Linked DNA regions of Drosophila melanogaster. The protein of the gene in region 1 interacts with the protein of each later gene in a biochemical or structural test. Each region holds a gene or a part of one and is shown in the gene's direction. Other genes may lie near its edges. The genes, in order: Mcm5 and grp.

Region 1 (10,513 bases):
TTAGAGAAATATTATAAAAATATTTAATAACAAGAAAATGTAACATATCAGAAACTGGCGATAGCGATGTATCGGTTTTCGATGCCACCACTATTTCCGCGTCTGGTCACACTTTTCGGTAATTGTAATAAATAAAGGAAAGGCGGAGATTTTTGTTAAAATTTTAACAAAATTGGATGACATTTTAGAAGGTAAGTGTGGAAATTAGTGTTTATACAACAGCTCATTGCACGGATAATATAAGTAACCCGTATACTCGTGTTTTAGCCGCTTGCTCACCTCCCGCAATACTCACGATACCGCACCGCCCGACAAAAATGCCGCGATATAGGGAGTGGGACTTGGCCTGCAAGGTGTACGTGGGAAACCTGGGCTCCTCGGCGTCCAAGCACGAGATAGAAGGCGCATTTGCCAAATATGGACCCCTGCGAAACGTGTGGGTGGCCCGCAATCCACCAGGTTTCGCCTTTGTCGAATTTGAGGATCGCCGTGACGCGGAAGACGCAACGCGTGCCCTGGACGGAACACGCTGCTGCGGCACTAGGATTCGCGTAGAGATGTCTTCGGGTCGCTCGCGCGATCGCCGGCGCGGAGAAGGCGGCAGTAGTGGTCGCTCTGGTTCCGGACGCTACAGGTAATTCCACGACAAAAAAACTGTACTTCTCATGTTACTTGGCTCAATGTGTCTCCCAAATGGAACAATGGATCACTTGACTCCAAAAATTGGGTACTTTCTTCAGGTTTCTAAGCATATGATGGCGGTCTTGCCTGTAACCGTCAAAATTAATCAATCCTTATCAAAACGTATAAAATTTGTTATCGAAATTTCATTGGAATCGTCGCAAAAAACATTAATTGCGAATAGCAAACATGTACATTTTCCCGCCTTTTTCTGCACGTGATAGAACAGCCTTCGAAATGTCAGTTTTATGAGTACTTCTTCGCAGGCTGTTTTATTCATGTCCAACTGACATCACATCGCTATTCATAACATTTCTAATTAAAAATTGACTTGGTACTTTATTTAGACCAAACTTACAAACTGTATACATATATTATCTACGATCCAATCATTTAGTGGTTGTTAAATTCGAGTTATCGACACTTTTTCAGGATAACTCCTTCGGCTAGAACTACTTCCACTGCTACTTCTTCCTTCTACAACATCAACAATCTACAACAGCAACCATCTTCACAGCCACAGCCAGCAACCTTCAACTTGCAACTCTAAATTAACCATGTTCAGCGTCACAGCCTCACAGAAGTTTTGATTAGCAACCCAAATGATTTCATCCTAGAAGAAGCAATGCAGTCGCCCAAAGAGTTCTTTTTTAAAGTTATCCTGCGTATCCTTCAAATAATTGCTTACAATTATTTCTTTAATTTAGTTGCCTATGATATGAGGGTTCGTCCGCTTTCTCAAGTACTTGACTCTGATGTCGAGAAAACTGGCCTTGAACGCGTTTAACGCTGATGATCACAGCTACTATAGATTTGTTCGACCATTTTCTTATTGCATATGTATCCGACAAAGTAGAAAGCTTTAAACTCTAATTATAGGATATCAGTTGGTAATAGATAGTAAATGTAATTGCAGCAGCTAAATGTAATAGCAGCATTAGCAATAATACTCTTATCTTAATTGGTTCACAGCTTAATTCATAGAAACAAAACAGTTTGCACAGCTTTCATTTTTGTTCCCCCTGGTAATTAGTTTAAGTAACTATTTAGCAGTATTTAACACTCCTATTTTGCAGCTCTTTGTAAGGCGCGTATGTACATACACTTCTTACCATTCTAAGCTGATTTAAATAATTTTATTAAGCTTTTAAGTAATCATTTCTTCTTTACCAATGCGTTTATTTCAGGTCACGTTCGCCACGTCGCTCCCGATCGCCCCGCAGCCGCAGCTTCTCGCGCGATCGTCGAAGTCGCTCGGATTCTCGGGATCGTCATTAATGTTTCCAAAAGGATATCGTTTAAGCAGTGTCGCATCAAAGAACAAGCCGGCCAAGGCCGTATTTTCTGTAGGAATTCCTATGTCGATTGCGATCCAAGTAAATTTACTTCAGATGACAATATAAATCTTTCGATGCATTCTTGAAATTCCTTTTTTTTTTTTACTAAAAAATAAAGACGCACAATCAGCGAGTTTTGATTGGTTTCATATATCATCAAAAACAGTTTGTTTCCAGCAAAAGGGGACGTGCTTAGTGCACTGTTTATTATGTGAGAATTGACGTGCTGCTGTACAACTTGCTTAGAAGTATGTTCGAATAATAATTTAAACAGGCGCACGAGTGTAAAATATTATGTATACTAACAAAGGTACACTTTAAACTTAGGAGAAGACGCAACACGAATTCGTTGCACATTTCGCACTGGAATAAACCTTACGTCTAGTCATTGTATGTATCCTCGCTGCAGGGCTCTGAGCCCCATCCCAAATGGCAGATCGGATTGGTTATGGCTGCCCCTAGCGCATGCGGTATGTGTTCGACTCCTGAATTTGAGACAATTCGCCCTTGAAATTAATGTCGATGACGAAGTCCAGGTCACGGTTGTTCCGCTCGTTGGGCTTCATCTGGAACGTGCCAGTGATCTCCTCGTTCTTCTTTGCCGTCATGTGGTCATCGAGGTAGAACACGGTTTGCTTCCAATGCGTGTATGTGGAGTCTGGTGACGTACTGAACCCAAGACGCTTGTGGCACTTGGTGAACTCTATATTAAAGTAGGTGACTAATGCCTGCACGAAGTCGTTGCGCTTGATGCATAGGCTGAACTTGGACGAGAAGTTAAGATCGGCCTTTTGCACGGTATACAGATCCACCTCCTTGACCATGCAAGATGTGGATACCACTTGCTTGGGATCGACCACGTCGACCAGTGGCTCGGTCACGGCCACCTTACGAATGCAGCTCATGTCGAAGCCGTAGACATCGTCCCACCAGTTGATCTTCTCGTCCTTGTACTGTCTGTCCTCGATGGCCGTGATATACAGCGTGCCCCTATCTGGGAACATCATGCCGTCCTTCTTCAGCCACTTGTCCCGAGCGTACAACACTGTATCCAGCATGGATTCGTAGAACAGGCAGTAACTAAATTAAGGAAAGAAATTAAAATGGTTAATATGCTAAATCAAATATGACCACTTTTTAAAAGCTTAACTACAAATGAAAACCTACCCCATCCACTCGGAAATAATAATGTCCACTCCCTCAATACCATTTGGAAGCTCAATCTCCTCAATCTTGCCCTTGACAACCGTGATTACATCCTGCAGATTGTTGTCAATGACCACTTGGCGGGCAAACTCAATGATGTTGGAGCAGTCGACGGCAATCACCTGAGCAGCACCGGCTTTGGCAGCGAACATGGAGAGAATGCCGGTACCGCAACCCACGTCCAGTACGGTCTGCAAAGAGGAGATACCCCGGTGAGAAGGGCTACGAAAAATGGGGAAACCCCGGAAGTTAACCCTACCTTGCCCTGAAACAGATGCTTGTTGTGGTACATGGCGTTGCGGTATGTGACGGTGCGCACTTCGTCCTTGAGCATCTCCTCGTGGATCCCGAAATGGGCATAGGAGTCAAAGTAATAGTCGCGGGACGTCATCTCGTCGGCGTTGGCATTGGGATTATCACCGGTGGAGCCCTCCGCGGGCAGCTTCTTCGCCACATTGTTTGAGTTCGCATTTGAATTGGGCGTGATGCCGGTCGCCGATTCCACAGCTGCCTCCATGGGAATGTCTGTGCTGGCCTGCGAATCGGGTTCGTCAGCTACTGGCCTGTCGATTGCCGTCACATTTTGACCAAAACTTACCATTTTCTAATTTCTTCGGCGTCTCTTTGGTTTTTCACGTCGAAAAATTGGCGACTAAATGATGGGACTGTTTCTACAGCACGCTAGTTTAAAAGGTCGCTTATCAACACTGCCCCCGCACAAAAGCTGGAAACAAATATCGCCAGCTCGATATTATTGGATTTTTCTGAAATTTTAGTATTTTTGAGCTGGGAAGAATTGGAGTCAGTTGTCTAAGGCATGTTCCATATAATCGAGTAAAATAATCTTTGTCATAACATCAATAAGATATAATAAATACGTTCATGGTTTATTAACTGCTGCAATGCTTGTTGTATTGGTCCTATTTCACTGCTAACAAAAATACATAAACTGGGAAACACGTTTCATCGATAGTTGTAAATAAGATCCGATAGTTTTACTGGTAAGTGCTCATCTCTAGCTACCGCTTGCCCGGTAATTTTGGCGGCAAAATATTCGCACATCGCATTTACTAAAAAACGAAATATAAAGCGAAGCAGAAGTAGCGTCTATTACCTCAGTTCTTCTTTTTAACTTTGTTTACCCTATCAAAATGGAAGGCTTCGACGATGCGGGTGTGTTCTTTTCGGACAATTTCGGCGGAGATAACCAGCAGGATGCGCAAATCAACTTGCAGGCGGTAAAGAAGAAGTACAAGGAGTTCATCCGGACATTTAACGAGGAGAACTTTTTCTACAAATACCGGTAAGTGAACTGCATCTCCTCATCTGAACCCCATTTAAGGTAATCCCCCTGCAGTGACACCCTGAAGAGGAACTATCTTAATGGTCGCTACTTCTTGGAGATTGAGATGGAGGATTTGGTGGGCTTCGATGAGACCTTGGCTGACAAGCTGAACAAGCAGCCGACGGAGCATTTGGAAATCTTCGAGGAGGCTGCCCGGGAGGTAGCCGACGAGATCACAGCTCCCCGGCCGGAGCACGAGGAACATATGCACGACATCCAGATTCTTCTGAGCTCCAATGCGAATCCCACCAACATACGACAGTTGAAGTCGGACTGCGTATCCAAGCTGGTTAAGATCGCCGGAATCATTGTCGCAGCCTCAGGAATAAGTGCCAAGGCTACGCGGATGTCTATCCAATGCCTGTCCTGCAGCACGGTCATACCGAATCTCAAAGTGAATCCAGGTTTGGAGGGCTACGCCCTACCCAGGAAGTGCAACACGGAGCAGGCGGGCAGACCCAAGTGCCCGCTGGACCCCTTCTTCATCATGCCGGACAAGTGCAAGTGCGTCGATTTCCAGACCCTTAAGTTGCAAGAGCTCCCCGACTTTGTGCCACAGGGTGAGATTCCCCGCCACTTGCAGCTCTTCTGCGATCGCTCGCTCTGTGAACGCGTGGTGCCCGGCAATCGCGTGCTTATCCAGGGCATATACTCCATTCGCAAGGTGGGCAAACCCTCGCGTCGGGATGGTCGCGAGAAAGCCGTCGTTGGAGTCCGTGCTCCTTACATGAGGGTGGTGGGCATCACCGTCGACTCAGAGGGTGCGGGTGCCATCTCCCGATACAGCAACATCACATCCGATGAGGAGGAGCACTTCCGGCGAATGGCCGCCTCTGGGGACATCTACGAACGTCTCTCACAGTCACTGGCGCCCAGCATCTTCGGCTCTCGGGATATCAAGAAAGCTATAACTTGTATGCTTTTTGGCGGGTCTCGTAAGCGTTTACCGGATGGTCTGTGCCGTCGAGGCGACATTAACGTCTTACTGCTGGGAGATCCTGGTACTGCCAAGTCACAGTTGTTAAAGTTTGTGGAGAAGGTGGCACCCATAGCAGTCTACACTTCGGGCAAAGGCTCCAGTGCGGCTGGTCTCACGGCTTCGGTTATGAAGGATCCTCAAACGGTGAGAAAAAACATTGCACACCTAATCCTTACAAATTAAATGATACATTAATCTTTAGCGTAACTTTGTCATGGAGGGTGGAGCCATGGTGCTGGCCGATGGAGGCGTGGTTTGTATTGATGAGTTCGACAAAATGCGAGAGGATGATCGTGTGGCCATTCACGAGGCCATGGAACAGCAGACAATATCCATTGCCAAAGCCGGCATCACGACCACCTTGAACTCACGCTGTTCGGTCTTGGCAGCTGCCAACTCCATTTTCGGTCGATGGGACGACACCAAGGGCGAGGAGAACATTGACTTTATGCCCACAATTCTCTCCCGTTTCGACATGATTTTCATTGTAAAGGATATTCACGATGAGTCGCGGGACATTACGCTGGCCAAGCACATCATCAACGTGCATCTGAGCTCTAACAAGTCAGCGCCTTCAGAGCCGGCTGAGGGTGAGATATCGCTGTCGACGTTCAAGAAGTATATTCACTACTGCCGAACTCATTGCGGTCCGCGCCTGAGCGAAGCTGCCGGCGAGAAGCTAAAGAGCCGCTACGTGCTTATGCGCAGTGGAGCCGGCCAGCAGGAGAAGGCATCTGACAAGCGGCTAAGCATTCCCATCACTGTGCGTCAGTTGGAGGCTGTCATCCGCATTTCGGAGTCGCTGGCAAAGATTCGTTTGCAACCGTTCGCCACAGATGAGCACGTGAACGAAGCACTTCGACTTTTCCAAGTGTCTACCCTTGATGCTGCGATGACTGGCAGCTTGGCTGGAGCCGAAGGATTCACGACCGAGGAGGACCAGGAAACACTCAACCGCATCGAAAAGCAATTGAAACGTCGCTTTGCAATTGGATCTCAAGTATCGGAGCAGAATATCTTACAGGTAAGCACAGAAGTCTTATGAATCGAATGAACAATTTTTATTTATAATGCTTGCTTTTCATAGGACTTTTTGCGTCAGAAATACGAAGAACGCACGGTAATGAAGGTAATTCATACCATGATCCGACGTGGAGAGCTGCAGCACCGGATGCAACGGAAGATGCTCTATCGAATTTGCTAAACACTGTTAATCACTTCATTTCTTGTCCATCGTTGAATATGTCTTCAATCATTTCGTCACATTATTTGTATTTCCATTTATAGTATTAAGATAAACTACATTCTTTCCCAATAAACCAAATTGAATCATTATTTTATTTATTCAAATTCTGTTAAATATTTGAACAATAATTCAGTGATGTATTTAATAGCTAGAAGTTTACAGAATAGATACTCTGATACTTGTAGTGGGAAATCCTAGGTATTTCAAGTGCATAAGTCAGTCGAGCCGGCAGACTATATGTTTGGTAAATATTTATGATTGTTTACATTTAAAAAATGAGATTATAAGCAATGTCTAAATTCTGTTTGTTGATAATGCTTGGTCGAAACACATAGACCCTTTGGTCGGCCTCCAAATTTTCGCGCAAACCGACAATTTCGCTCTACATTCGACTGTGTTTGCCTACGTCATTCGGACAAATCACAAAAACCAATCATATTGCCTTGGCCACTTGCCAATTTCTTAAAAATATTTTTTCCTCTGTTTGAGAACGTTTATTACTTCCTTTTATACAAAACTCAATTAGTATATTTGCGCATGCACATCTATGTACTTACATACATTTGAAAACTGAAATGTACTCAAAATGTGCACGAATTTTCAAAAATACGTAAGCGTGTTACGTATGCTCGCTTTTGGCCATTTAAAAACAATGGCAAATGTATATATATGTATATGTATATGTAGGCATTCCAAATTTATGAATTTCCGGAAGGAAATCTTTACAATCTTGTTTATCACGGAACATTTGCGGAATGACTGTATTATTTAAAAAGTCCTAACAATAATATTTATTTCTCGTACATTTTTCCCAACTGACGCCACTTTGCTGCGTTTTAAGGTCCGAATGACGTCAAGTTGGTCTAAAATTTATTGAGGGCGAATTAGAAACATGTTTCTCTAGACGTTTTAGAAAAATTCCAGAAGATCATGGGCCCAATATCAATAAAAAAAAGAACACCCAGGCTATGAAAATAGATATAATTTATTTGTGACGATAATTTCCATTTAAGTCAGCTACACATTTAAACACATAGTACATGTATGTATGATGTTTTCTCAATTTAATAACATAGTGGTACTTTGAACTTTGCATCCGAACCCAGGGTCAAGATAATTCAAACATCAAACAATAAGAGATTAATTGAAATTCATATTCCGATATTGATGCACACACGAGTGTATGTATTTTTTCAATTACCTCTGCCTGTGTCAGTTCATCGTTTCCATTAACAAAGCGTTGCACCGATGTTCTTTTCATTGCACATGGAAATGTAGCTATGGATCCATGTGTACCATGTGTATAAGTTCGCTTTTCACCTAAACCAATTTACTCGGTTTTTTTTTTTTGTCCATCACCCGCTACGTAGGTCCCTAGACATCGTAAAAAAATTGTCAAAAATAGTGATTCCTGCGTGATGGATTATTGTCAACACGAGCTAAGCCCTAATAGTATATATTGATATTTGAGATATATACTGGATATATTACGCAACCGATCACAATTATTATATGTCTGTTAATTAGACTGCACACAATTGGGGGCGCTGGCGAAATTAGATAATTGTTTCCAACACGTTTGTATACTTTGTGAAACAGAAATTCTTGAACGTCATCAGCATCCGTGGATTCCTTCCCATTCTCGCGGGAGAGCAAACGGATGGGATTCTGGTCCGCCGGGCCAGAGGTGTATATACAAAAGGCCCATGTAAGCTATATGTAGGGAGGTGCGAGAGGAAAATCGCTGAGTGGGGCCTTTGTTTTGTGAATGAAAATGAAAATTCTCGCCGTACATATGCCAAGCCTACGTCCGCCGTACGCCAGTACAATTTTAGATCTCGAGCGAGCGAGTTCGTCCGGAACAGAGAGCTACAACCGATGAAAGCCGTATTTGTTGGATAGAAACGCGGACTCAGATTGCCATTTTTGTTGCAGTGCACCAGAGGATCATGTACATTTACCCCAGCTCACCGGAATCAGCATCGTCCTTGCAGTCCGAAGAGAGTGCGGCCATTAAGATTCAGGCCGGATTTCGTGGCTACCGTGTGCGCAAAGAGATCCATCGATCCAGCAAGAATCCCCATCCCAGGCGGAATCAGCGACAGCGTCCAAAGAACAACGGCCTCATGGAAAACCAGAACAATACGGGAAATCCCCGTCCCAGCGGCGAGGATCAGCATACGGCCACCGAGAATGGTGGTAAATCCGTGGAGGATCGTAGTGCCACCAAGATACAGGCGGGATTCCGGGGATTCCTGGTGCGAAAGAAGCAGAAAATCGCCACCGATGCCGCTGTTAAAATTCAGGCTGGCTTCCGGGGATTCAAAACACGCAAAGAATTGAAACAATGCGAGCCCATTGTGTAATGACTTTGCGCGCTGGTCGTTCCACAACTCTGATTTCTACTGTACATACAAATATTTGTATTCAAATCCTACCGCTTAGTTCAATACGTGTCGTGTAAATAGATTAATATTAACTGATAGCTTCCAGATGAATAAAATACTCTTACTCAAGAAACCGCAATCTTGAAAGACACCACTATCCATTAACGAGATCCAAATTGTTTGTGTTTTCTCTAGGCCTATTTTTGGTATACCGTGCTGTATGTATATGGTATGAATACAGTGAATAAACATTTTGTTCATCGAACACGTAGCACTTGATGGAAACTGACGAAACGGAAAACACAATACGATAGTTGCAAAGAATGGTTTTTAGGGAGCACAAAGTTAGAGGCGTGTCTTATTTTTTTTTAATAGAACCTATTTAATAGCTGGCTAGCGAATGTATTCTTTGGGATTCAGTGCATCGACCCAAGGTGCACACCCAGCCCATAAATCTGTCAAGTGCGTTTAAAGTTTAGAGCCAAACTGGCAGCCATCCGCTCATCCGTAGTTGAATATGTTTAAATTGAGGAAAATTAAATGTTATGATTTACTCCCGGAAATCTTTCCGCTTGTTTGATAACAATAACATTTCAGATTAATACATATATTTTATTTAGATATAATTCAGCGTTTATACTTATACGTCGTATAATTTATTTTCTTTTGTTCGCCTCGGCGCTTTTGATGCGTTTTCGCATATGTTTGGGGATTACTCTGAAAACTTCGCAATCGATTTGCACTGGCATGGAATTCTGCCTCATTTTCAGCCACCTCAATTCCATGTCAGCGCTGGACTTCGCCTCGCCTGGATAATTAAGTTAATTTAAATATTAAAACTTGTTTACTAACTTAAACAATTTGGAAATGATTACTTACCAACGGTCTTGCTTCTCTGGGTTTTTGCATTTTTGTGTGCTTTGACCCCACTGACTAGCAAACTGTTTTCATCATCCGGAGTGGAATCATTACGAAGTGCATCCCCGCGCTGCAACTTCTGGCGCCTGGCGGCCAGATTGCTCTCCAAGCTGATGCCTTCCATTTTCCGGCTATGACCCTTTCGCTTTCGTGTGTGCATCCGATATGCGGTTTGTATCTTCTTGGCGGCCTCCTCCTCGATGAATCGTTCCAAGGACTCACTGATCGCATCGTTGCCAAAGGATGCCTTGGTGTCCAAAGTGGATGACTTGGTGCCAGCACTGGCCCGCCGCAATCTTCGCCTGGTAAGGAAGCCACGAGCTCCGGCCTGGATCTTCGTGGCCGCCGAAACAATTGTGGATTCCGTTTCAGTGGATGTCCCCATGGCATCCGCCATGGCCGTGTCTACGTCAA
Region 2 (10,643 bases), on another chromosome or scaffold:
GGAATAATTGCGGATCTGTATTTGGAGGTTTCTCTTTCACTTGGAATAACCTTGCGCAATTTGAAATTTGTAACATGTTGGGAGGGGCTTTTCACTGCATATTTCCGTTTCGTGCTCTGCAACCGGAAGTGCACACACACACACACACACACACTCATAGCCAAAACCACCACACCAACACACTCAAGTACTTTTTCATATATTTTTTTTCTACGGTTTGGTAACTTTTAAGAGGGTGTTTGACCCATAAATGAATTTATGCCAATTTAGAACGGCAAACACAGTTGTGGGCTTGGAAAAACTTCGGTTAGGGGGATTAAGCATTGGGCGGGGGCGTTGGCTAACCAATTAAAGCGAGTTTTTTTTTTGGGGGTTGTTTATTTATTTAGTATTCCCTGTTGCTTTTGCAGGGGCAGCATAACCGGATATATTTGTGCAATTATTTTAATGGCCTAGGCAATAACACAGAAACACACACAAACACACAAATGACTAGTGGCTAGCCCATTTTTTATTTGAAATTTACTTTCTTTGCTCGAGCTTTTCTTTTGCCTTTGGCCAAATAATTTTGGCTTTAATAATTAAAAGTATTTTGGGTTGCCCGCTGTTTTCCGAGTTTCTCGTGCGCCTTGGCCAGCAGTCGACTTGCAACTGAGCAAGTGAAAAAGTCGAAACAGCTGAAAAAGTGCAAGGACTCCCGATCCCAAAACCGATTCCTACAGACCAGACGAACTCTGAACCGAGTTTAAATGTCTGTGGGGGTATTTCTATTCAATGGTGGCCCCAAAAACTCAATGAAAACGGCAAGCCGGCTGCAGGCGATGCAGCGCGCATGTGTCCTGTAGTAAAACGGCGGCAAGGATAATGACCTCTTCGAGGTGCAGGTCGCTTCTGCATGGGCGAAAAAAACCGTTGGTGGAAGGTAAGAATTTCTTTTAGATTTTATATTCCCTTTTCTACTTGATGTTCTCAAATTTTTTTTTTTCCTTATTCCCAATTTGTTAAAACCTCACTTTACAGCAATTTTAAAAAGTCCGCGCAACATAACAGCGATTAGGAACACTGTCACTGTAATAATCTTTGCAGTACTTTTTTTGCGGTAGTTGTGAATTTCGTATCCCGTGACTTTTGTTGAATAATCGATATCAACGAACAGTAATCGATATGTGCTCTAAACAAACAAACATGTAATTAAAATTAATTAAAATACGGACAGTTTGTTTACCCCAAAACAGATAGTTTAGTGATCCACCGAAATGAGTGTGTTCCCAAGATATCCAAACACCAGGCTAGACCTGTAGCATTAATAATATTGTGGTCTTATTGTGGACTTTTGCAATGCTTAGTGCGGATCGGGATTCGGTGGAGGAAGAATATGGATCGTGCTCGGCCTGGAAATTCCGTTGCAGCGTGGACAGGTGCCCCTACAGGACGAACAGACCCTACAATCTGGCGCGTCATGAGGAGTCCCACATTGGTATTACGCAGTCCAAGCTATACGGATGCCCCGTTTGCGTTTACAACACCGACAAGGCGTCGAACCTGAAGCGGCACGTGTCTATCAAACATCCTGGGTGCAAAAAGCGCCCTCCGGAAGCGCAGCACAAGGATCGCAATGCCAAGTTGCAGTGCCTGGTGATGGGATGCAGATACGAGACAAATCGTCCATACGACCTCAAGCGCCACTTGATGGTGCACAACAATCCGGAGAAGAGCCACAGGACGTTTAAGTGCTCCCTTTGCACCTACAGCTCCGACCGAAAGGCCAATCTCAAGCGGCACCACGAGCTACGCCATTCGGGCATAGAGGAGGCCATTCAAACTGCGGAGGAACTGCGCCAGGAGATGCTGCTGGAGAAGCAAATGCTGAAGGAACATAAGCTAAAATATCAGATCACAGAGAAACAGGATTTGAAGAATCTAAAGTTGAAGGACCAAAAGCAGAAGGTGCAAATGCTGAGGGATCAGCAACCGAAACAAAGGCAAAAGAAAGAACAGTTGCTGGAGGACCAGAGTCCTGTGCTGAATAAGCAGCTGGAGCACGGAAATATTCCTTTAAAAGAAGCCCTGGTAGGCAGTATGAAATACGACGAGGAAAGTTTGGAATTTGTTTACGAGGAACTGCAGGAGGAGGAGCAGCCGCCCATCATCACCATTAGCAACCCGCAGATTCTCCATGGAGACATCCGGGATAAGCACGTCATCGTAAGCATTGCAAAATGTAGTTGTTAAATTCGCTCTTCAATCATTAACAACATTTACAATGTTTGCAGGCTGTCAACGTTGATGGCCAGTTGCGATGGTTCCAGTCAATAGATCCACCGCCGGGAGCTCCAACAAAATTGGAGCTGCCCATAAAGAGCACTTCAATTTCTGTCCAGCAGCAAATGGACGAATTAGACGATGAGTTGGCCATGTCCCTTGCCGAAGAAGATCAGCAGGATGAGTTTCTTGTGCCAATGCTGAGCGGAGAGGAACCAGTTAAAATAAAACAATCATCGCTGACCGATCTGGCTTGGAGTTGGAGTACGCCGGATGTAAGAAAGAACTATAAACGAAAAAAACGAACTTTTCCTAACAATGTTTTTATCACTAAAGGCTGTACATCACATAAGTCCCAAAGCGGAACTCAAGAAGGACCTTAAAGCTGGCGATGCAGATACAGATTTTCCAGATTGGTGGGATGATGGCAAGTACACAAAGATGCAAAAGAACCAAACATTTGCAAAGCACTCAAAGAAGCCGTCGCAGGAGAATGTGCAACGCATCCTGCGCATCATCTATGACATTTACTACAAACCCTTCAAGGAAGATCGCAAGCAGTTCGAGGCATTTCAAATTAAGGACTCCTGGCTGTGCGCGACTCGAATGACTCGCATGCAGATAATCAAGGACATGTACTCTAAACAGGGCACGTTAAGTCAAACTTGATGATAAAAAATGTATCATCCCTTTGGTATTTGTATAAGAATACCATTAAGTTGTTTACTATTTAAAGTGTAAAGTAAACGAATTAAGAAAATCCCAAGTACTTTAAAACTAGTTAATTAACCTTTAATTTAAGCCCAAAAACAAGTATAGGAGTAGTTTAAAAAAGAAAGAATACTATAGTCGAGATCCCCGACTATCATATAACCGTTACTCAGCTAGTGTGAATGCGAACGCGAAATTTAATCCTCTGGGATATTAATAAATATTGTATAATGTGAAAAAATTTAAAAAAAATTCAAACGTGTGGGCGTGACCGGTTTGGCGGCTTTAGGGCGTTGGAATGGGCGTGGCAAAAAGTTTTTTGGCAAATCGATAGAAATTTAAGCGACTAATAAAATTATGAAAAATATCCAACAATTTTTTTTTTAAATATGGGCGTGTCAGTTTTGTGCGGTTTGTGGGCGTCGCAACATGGGTTCCGCTGCGTCTTTATCTCTAGAATATGTATGCTAAATCTCAACCTTCTAGCTTTTAAAGTTTCTGATATCTCGTCGTTCATACGGACAGACGGACATGACTAGATCGACTCGGCTATTGATTCTGATCAAGAATATATACTTATATATAAATATATACACTTTATATAGTCGGAAACGCTTTCTTCTGCATGTTACATACTTTTCAACGAATCTAGTATACCCTTTTACTCTACGAGTAACGAGTATATTTTAGGAATTGTGTTATTCAATAAATTGTGTGTTGAAAATGTCTACACTACGATCGATTATTGAAGAAAAAATAAATTCAATGAAAATTAAAAACAATTAGTCAATAATTATATATTATTTTAAATATGACTATTTATAGTACCGGATAATAATCATATTTAAAAAAGTGTATTTAATATTAACAGCTAAATACTGTAATGATTTTAAGCTAAATACAAATAAAATCAGCTAAATACTGAAATCACAAATTTATGTGCCTTGTGATTTTCGACGATCGATACTTGGGATCCGAAACGGATAACCATCGATATCAGCGATTTACTGGAGAAATCGATAGCTTGCACTGTGCATCCAGTTTTGCTCCAGCCCTATCGCAAACTAAAGTATATTTTAGCAGCGTTTGCGGAATTTTTTGCATTTCAGTTACTCCAAGTGTGAATAAGAGCACGGTCGCTGTTATAGTGTCTTGCAAAGCAGTGAATTAAAAAAGTTTAATAATCCAAATCGAGAATCCCAAATTTGTGTAGACGTAGCAACAACAGTAAAACGCGCTGGCCGGAAAAGACGCTGCTGGTGAGTTGGAATAGTGGTGCATAAATTAGGAATGTATATATGCTGATTCGTGGGGCATTACCCTTTGTTTATTTAATGACTTGCTTGCTGCACCCCGCTCCCCCTTCCTTAACCTTTTGTTTAACTTTTTGGCGCAATATTATTCACCTTGACCACGCACCGGTGTGCAAAAGATTCACCGCACACCGGTGCACTTAAATTCACCACAGCCTTAATAATTCTTACGGCATTTCCGTGCTCAATGGTGAATGGTCGCACTGAAACTATTCTTTGAAAATAACGGAGTAAACATTCAGTCTCAGATTCTGAGAACTTGTTGACAGTGTAGCTGTTCAATTGTTTTCATGGCGAGTTCTCGGAGTATTTTTTGTTAGGTGAGTTTTAGGTTATGTCTGATGTCAGAAAATTAACAAATAAATTTCGCCTAAGACAACGCACGATCATGGCATGGGTTCCCAATTCGCAGTTCGAGGATGATCTGGTCGACATGGAGCCGGATTTCAATTTTGTCCATGGTCAACTGGCCTACGACATGAAGAAGCAAGGGGAGTTTTGGCCGCGACCGAAATGCACATATGAATATCTGAAGTCCCGGGAAAAGAGGAATTCCGAGCTCGAAAATATCCATGGAAGCAGAGGCGGAACTGGTCGTGATATTCGGCAAAGCCTTCAGCTAATGGAGAACATACAGAAGATAGCAGGCACAAGGCCGCTGGGCGAGCACGCCACTATGAAAGATTGGGAGGATGAAAGCACAAATGAGCTAGAGGCGTTAGCCATGATGCGTCACTTCGGAATGATGTCCATGGCAACAGATTCGCTGCCCGTTCTGCCCGAAGTAAAACCACCAGAAGGACCCATTAAAATTATAAGAAACGGACGGAAACAATTTCCCCTCATCACAGACCCCGAATTTTTTAAACCACGCAAGATTCCCCGAACGAAGAATTCCAGTTCCAGTAGTTCGTATCATACTGCCAATAGTTCAATCAGTTCCTTCAGCCTTTATGAATCTGCCGCTTCAGATTTGGACAGCAGCAAGAAGCAGGGCGAGATCAAGGCGTCAAAGTCGGAGAAATACCTCGAAGTACCTTACAAACAGCTTGCGGAGAGTTACGACCAGGAAGTGGAATCACCAGTCCAATTTGGAAACCAATTCAATGAATGAAGGAGGAACCAACGGGGAATGCAATTATTAGAACCAAAAAATCAATCACTTTTTATATATAAGCTTCTGTAACATGTAAATAAACGGCTTAAACGTCGTTTAGAAAACCGAATTTATATTGGATGCAGTTCTACAAATAGAAAGAAAAATACTTGATATCATAGGGTAAACAAAATATTTATCTATTTTAATAAATTAAATGCGAAAGGAATGTTAGTGCTGTAGAATTCAATATATCCTTAAATGAATTTTTTTATATTAATTTATTGTTGCAAATGCATGTTTCCCAAACCATTTGGTAATTATTCAATTGTATCCCCTCCTAAATATGAAAAAATTGGAATATAGTCGGAAATATAATCGAGGTATTAAAATTTATGTTTATCGATTAAATCGATCGCGCTTATCAACGCACTATATTATAGCTAGAACATCGTATTTATAGAAAATAATTTTATGGCGTGTTTAATAACACACGCCAGACGTCTCTTTCAATAGCTACTTTGCGGCATATTGGGCACATATCGGCATGCTGCAAGTGGGTCCGGATGCACATCTCCCCAAAAAGGTGACCACATCTAAGCGAAACCAAGCGGTGATGATCCTTCGCTTCCCAAGGATCCAGGCATATGCAGCAAGTATTTTCGATGGCAATCTTCTCAAGCTGCTGTGTTAATTCGTCCTTGGACTCGAACAACAACTGCTCTTGCAATAATTTCTGATTGGTTATCTCTTCTTCCATTTGGTAATATAGCTTGAGTTCCTCCTCGCGCATTTTATCCTTCTCTTGAGTTGTAATATTTAGCTTCGCCAGTTGCTTGTCCTTTTGCTCACTTTTTTTCCTTTCCGCTAAGAGCTGCTCAACAACATCCTTCTTCAGCATCCTCATCAACGAGCGAGTCTGGGCTTTGTTATTGGGCATATTGTAAAGAAATTAAAATTACAAGGTGAACGAATTTTTTAGACAAGCACTTTTAGAACGAATGTCTTCTCAGTGAAGGTTTAAGCGTGGACTGCCTAGATTGAACAAAATTATTTTTTCTTGTAATCATTAGAATTAGTTGTGTGTTGCATTTTCCAACACAGCCAACATATTTACAGCTGTCAAAAAAAAAATCCATTTCAAAATAAAACTCGACTGTAATATTTGCGAATCGTTCACATCGAAAACGAGATGGATAAACAAGATATTACAAAGATGACCAAGAAAAAACTCATCGTTGAGGTCATTAAGCAGCGAAAACGGAACAAAGAAAAGGACGAAATCATCAAGGATAGTTTCGAGTCCAAAAAGCGTTTAATTGATCTGCGACTGCAACTGGACAAGGAGAAGAACATAACGAAGGAGTTGCGACTGAGGCTAGCGGCGCAGGACGCGATTGCGAATCAAGCGGAGAACCTGTCTATGAAACGAAAGAAGATCGCCGAAGAGAACAAGTGCTACATTTGCAAATGGAATTATGAGGTTACCGGAGACCATCGCCCAGTTTCAATTAAATGCGGTCACCTTTTTGGAGCGAATTGCATACTACATTACTTGCAGCGTAACAAGACATGCCCCATCTGCAAATCACAGATGATCCGCTGTATGGATGTTCGCATTATTATAGCAGGTCAAAATTTGTGCACGGCTGAATTATTACAGTAAACATTACATTTGCTGGGAAGTTGGACAAAATAAAAACCCAAGCAAAAGAAACAAGAGAAATTAATATTTTCTTGTATGTTTGTGATAATTAAACCACCACAATCATTTTCTCAATTTTTATTCAATTTCCCTTATTCAATCAATAGATGATTTGAACATTTGGCAAGCGTATATCGCAAGTGGAGTGAGACCCCCCGTAATTCCTTAATCAATAAACCACACTCCACTATATGCATACATAAATAATTTGTTATTGTTTTTGTGTGCGGGAACTATTATTATCAATTAAGCAATAATCTGTCGCAGAGTTTGCCAAATAACATTGAGAAAGTGGCTCACGTAATAAAGTAGAGGGAATTTGAAAAGTAGTGTAGTAGTAGTAGTAAAAGAATCAAGTTAAATAATAACGTTAATGTAGGTACATATGTATTGCTTAAAAATATAAATATTTTAGTGCATTTACTAATGTAGAGCAAGGTCCTTATCTGACTAATTGAATCAGGCTACAGTAACTTACTGGCTAAATTAGCAAACTTGTGCTGAGTTTTGGCGGTGCGAGTTGTCTGTCTCCTTTTTGTGGTGGCTGCTTCTCTCCCGTTTATTTTCGCGTGCATCTTCTCTTCCCGCCCGAGAAAAGTGTGAACTCACGAACACACGCAGCCAAAAGTTTTTAGTTCCGTGGCAACCACGTGCGTCTTTTGTTTCCTTTTTTCTTCTCTTGCGATTTTCCTTACTTCGCTCCCTTTTCTTCTATTCGCCGGGGTTGTCAAGCAGAAGTTTTGTTGTTATAAGTGGTGAAATGGATGCTGAAGTTGTTGTGTTTTATGCATAGGCCTGATGCTATTGTACGCAGTTGTACATCAATATCCAAACAAACCTACATACATACATACGTACATAAATAAATATGGATGTTGTCAGCGAAAAGTAGTCAAACCAAAGGATGGTGGTGAAAACTGTAGATGATGTGGGGGGGGGGGGTCTCTCTATATGTACATATGTATGGTTGTATGTTAACAAGTCTGGAGTCGCGGTCTTATTCGATGAGTGAAAGACGAAGCAAAATCAAAAATAAAGAAGCAATTCGACAAATGGCGCAAGCTATTAAAATAAATATGTACAATGTGCAAGCACTTTTTTTCGGGTGGACCCAAATTTTCACTTCGAAATATCCGTTAAAGTGTACCAAACTGAAATCTTTTTTTGTATTAATTGTTAGATTGCTGCATTTAAACCAAAAGCATTAAAAATATGAAAACATTTTTGGTTGGTTCTATTTGATTTCTCTTGACGCGCATTCTTATCAAAGCTTTAACTTTGTTTATACTTTAAGCGCATTCAAGTGTCTTTAATTTGTATACCTACCCCTAATCCAATTTCAATGTTTCAAATTTCGCTATATTAGGTAGTGATTCCCAATCAGCTTTGTTTACAAGGTCCACTCCAATTCCTACGCACTCGAGTTGTGGCGAGAGTTTTTTATGCGACATCAACTGAAGCTGGAGCTGCCGAAAGGTAAGCAGCGCACAGGGCAACTTAAAACGTTTACCAAAAAAAAATTCCTAATTTGTTGTTTAAAATATAAAATTATTAGGATTGGAAAAGGTTGATATCTTTTATTTGTGTATAATTTTTCAATTAAAAATAAAATCTCAAATTTACTGTACCGATACCACTGTGCAATGGTTGATGGAAGAGTGGAGTAAAGAAAAAGGAGCAACAGCCCTCGCCGGTAGCCGGCTTTCAGCCTCTGCTGCCACGAACAGAGCTCCCGTTCGGGCACTGTGGGGTTAGAAAAGTTTTAAGTTACATTATTTCGCTATTATTTTAATATGGGTATTAGTATTTGTAAAGATTTAAAAAAGAAAAGTTGAGAACTATTATGATATTCCATCCTGAATTCGATAAAAAAATAGTTAGAAAAACTATGATAGGGAGATATGTATATTAATACGTTTTTTGTCAAGGACTGAAATCCTTTTACTAAACGTATAATTGTACAAATTATACGTTTATGTCAATATAATTCGATCATGTATAGATGATTATTAAATAATAATAATGGAATAGTTAAACAATGGTCCGTCCCACTGTGCACTGCTGAACTTGAGCGAGAGAGCAAGTTGAACTTGCCAAATGCTGTGCGGAAGAGGAAGAGCGAGAGGATTTCTCCAACCCCTTCCCGCCTATCGTTTTTGGCGCGCGCAAGCGTAAGCTCTCCCTGCTCTCGCGGCCTCTCCGACGCTCTCTGGAAGTTTCGAGTTTCTTTCGAGGCTTTCTCGGTTCGGCGAACCTAGGCGGCAGTTTGATTTCAACTCTCAGACAGGACGAAGCGCCTGCCACAGGATATGGCTGGGAAACTATAGTGGAAACCTACGCCGCTATGTAATAGTAAATTAATAGTAGTTCTCTACTACTGCAGTAGTAGGCGGCGCTTTTCAATCGTATTGAAAGGAATACAATGACGGGGGCAAGAGAGAAACGAACGGAGAAAGAGTGCACGGACCACGAGGCTGTTTCATTAAAATTGGGATACAGACAAAACGTGGCTCGCAGGATACCGGATACGTCTGTGTGCGTGTGTGTGCCGCATCCATTCAGGAGGCTAAGAAAAAGGACGGCACACAGTTTTCAGTGGTGACTTTCTCGGCAAAATCCTAAAAAAGGACAAAACGGTTCGGTTCCTATTTGGTTTCTCGACTTTCGGTCTTCGGGGTAGTTCCTTAGTCTCTCAGAATAGCAAGATGATAAACCTGAAAAAGAAGAAGAAGCCGTCCAAGAAGCAGCTTCGCAAAAATTCCGCGCTTTGGCTCTCAATCGCCAACAATTCGTCGGAAATCAAGAAAAATGTAAGAAACAAATATTTTTAAACATAACTTGTCATTAAATATTTAGGTAAGCCAAAAACAACATGGTTGCGACATTCGATAGTAATCTTTAAATGCATAAAGTTTACACAAAGGAAAAATTATTCCTTTGTTACTAAACATAATATCGAAATCAGAAAAATTGATATATTTATGTTTGAAAATCAACATATTTTGTTAAATTGATCAACTTTTAAATAGGAACTATAAAATTACATAGGCATGTACTAAATTTATGTAAATGGATTTATGTAGATGAACAATCAACTTTTCTTTTGGGATCACAGCTTGAAATTAAAATCATATTCAAATCAGATTCCTTAGGATTTGTTTATTTATTTAGGGCATAGAAATATGAATAAATTAAAATTCTATTCTATGCTGTAATAAAATTACAGAATTCGCATTTTTGTTAGGCCCGTACAAATCCAACGTCAACTTAACAGAAGTACTTAAAAACCACAACAAATTGCACACGCGGCATTTAATTTATATTTTTCCAGCCGCTCTTTGCGTTTTTTCCCCCTCCATTTATTTTATTTTTGTGCAAGGCCCGCGAAATAAAAAGGAAAATCTCGAGGTTAGCAGCGGAGCAATGAGAAAAGCAACAAACAAAAAATACATATATGAAAATAAAAAACGCCAGAAAAAACTGGCAGCGCTGGTCTGGCCACTTGTCCGTCTGTCTGCCAGCCTGTTAAGCCCGTCCTTTTCTCTCACTGTACCGG

Evidence for each region.
Region 2: of the proteins of Mcm5 (region 1) and grp, one has a biochemical effect on the other in vitro, tested with the Drosophila melanogaster proteins (one study listed by BioGRID).

What each region holds. Positions count from the first base shown.
Region 1 is NT_033777.3:10,784,290-10,794,802, forward strand, and holds Mcm5 (minichromosome maintenance 5), read left to right. Parts: upstream 1-4,234; 5' UTR 4,235-4,375; coding exon 4,376-4,527; intron 4,528-4,581; coding exon 4,582-5,692; intron 5,693-5,750; coding exon 5,751-6,572; intron 6,573-6,635; coding exon 6,636-6,752; 3' UTR 6,753-6,861; downstream 6,862-10,513. Other genes in the region: Rbp1 (RNA-binding protein 1), read left to right, coding at 318-634, 1,114-1,231; Art1 (arginine methyltransferase 1), read right to left, coding at 2,477-3,098, 3,186-3,415, 3,484-3,759, 3,823-3,825; CG14687 (uncharacterized protein), read left to right, coding at 8,744-9,160; CG14692 (uncharacterized protein), read right to left, coding at 9,838-9,989, 10,061-10,513. UniProt on the Drosophila melanogaster protein: Acts as a component of the Mcm2-7 complex (Mcm complex) which is the putative replicative helicase essential for 'once per cell cycle' DNA replication initiation and elongation in eukaryotic cells.
Region 2 is NT_033779.5:16,676,045-16,686,687, forward strand, and holds the start of grp (grapes), read left to right. Parts: upstream 1-4,009; 5' UTR 4,010-4,232; intron 4,233-4,405; exon of another isoform or gene 4,406-4,606; intron 4,607-4,661; exon of another isoform or gene 4,662-4,674; coding exon of another isoform or gene 4,675-5,400; exon of another isoform or gene 5,401-5,609; intron 5,610-5,774; exon of another isoform or gene 5,775-5,854; coding exon of another isoform or gene 5,855-6,322; exon of another isoform or gene 6,323-6,358; intron 6,359-6,458; exon of another isoform or gene 6,459-6,574; coding exon of another isoform or gene 6,575-7,048; exon of another isoform or gene 7,049-7,246; intron 7,247-7,565; exon of another isoform or gene 7,566-7,964; intron 7,965-8,453; 5' UTR 8,454-8,563; intron 8,564-9,345; exon of another isoform or gene 9,346-9,897; intron 9,898-10,643. Other genes in the region: her (hermaphrodite), read left to right, coding at 1,339-2,205, 2,274-2,537, 2,599-2,931; squ (squash), read left to right, coding at 4,675-5,400; CG31807 (uncharacterized protein), read right to left, coding at 5,855-6,322; CG33552 (uncharacterized protein), read left to right, coding at 6,575-7,048. UniProt on the Drosophila melanogaster protein: Serine/threonine-protein kinase which is required for checkpoint-mediated cell cycle arrest and activation of DNA repair in response to the presence of DNA damage or unreplicated DNA.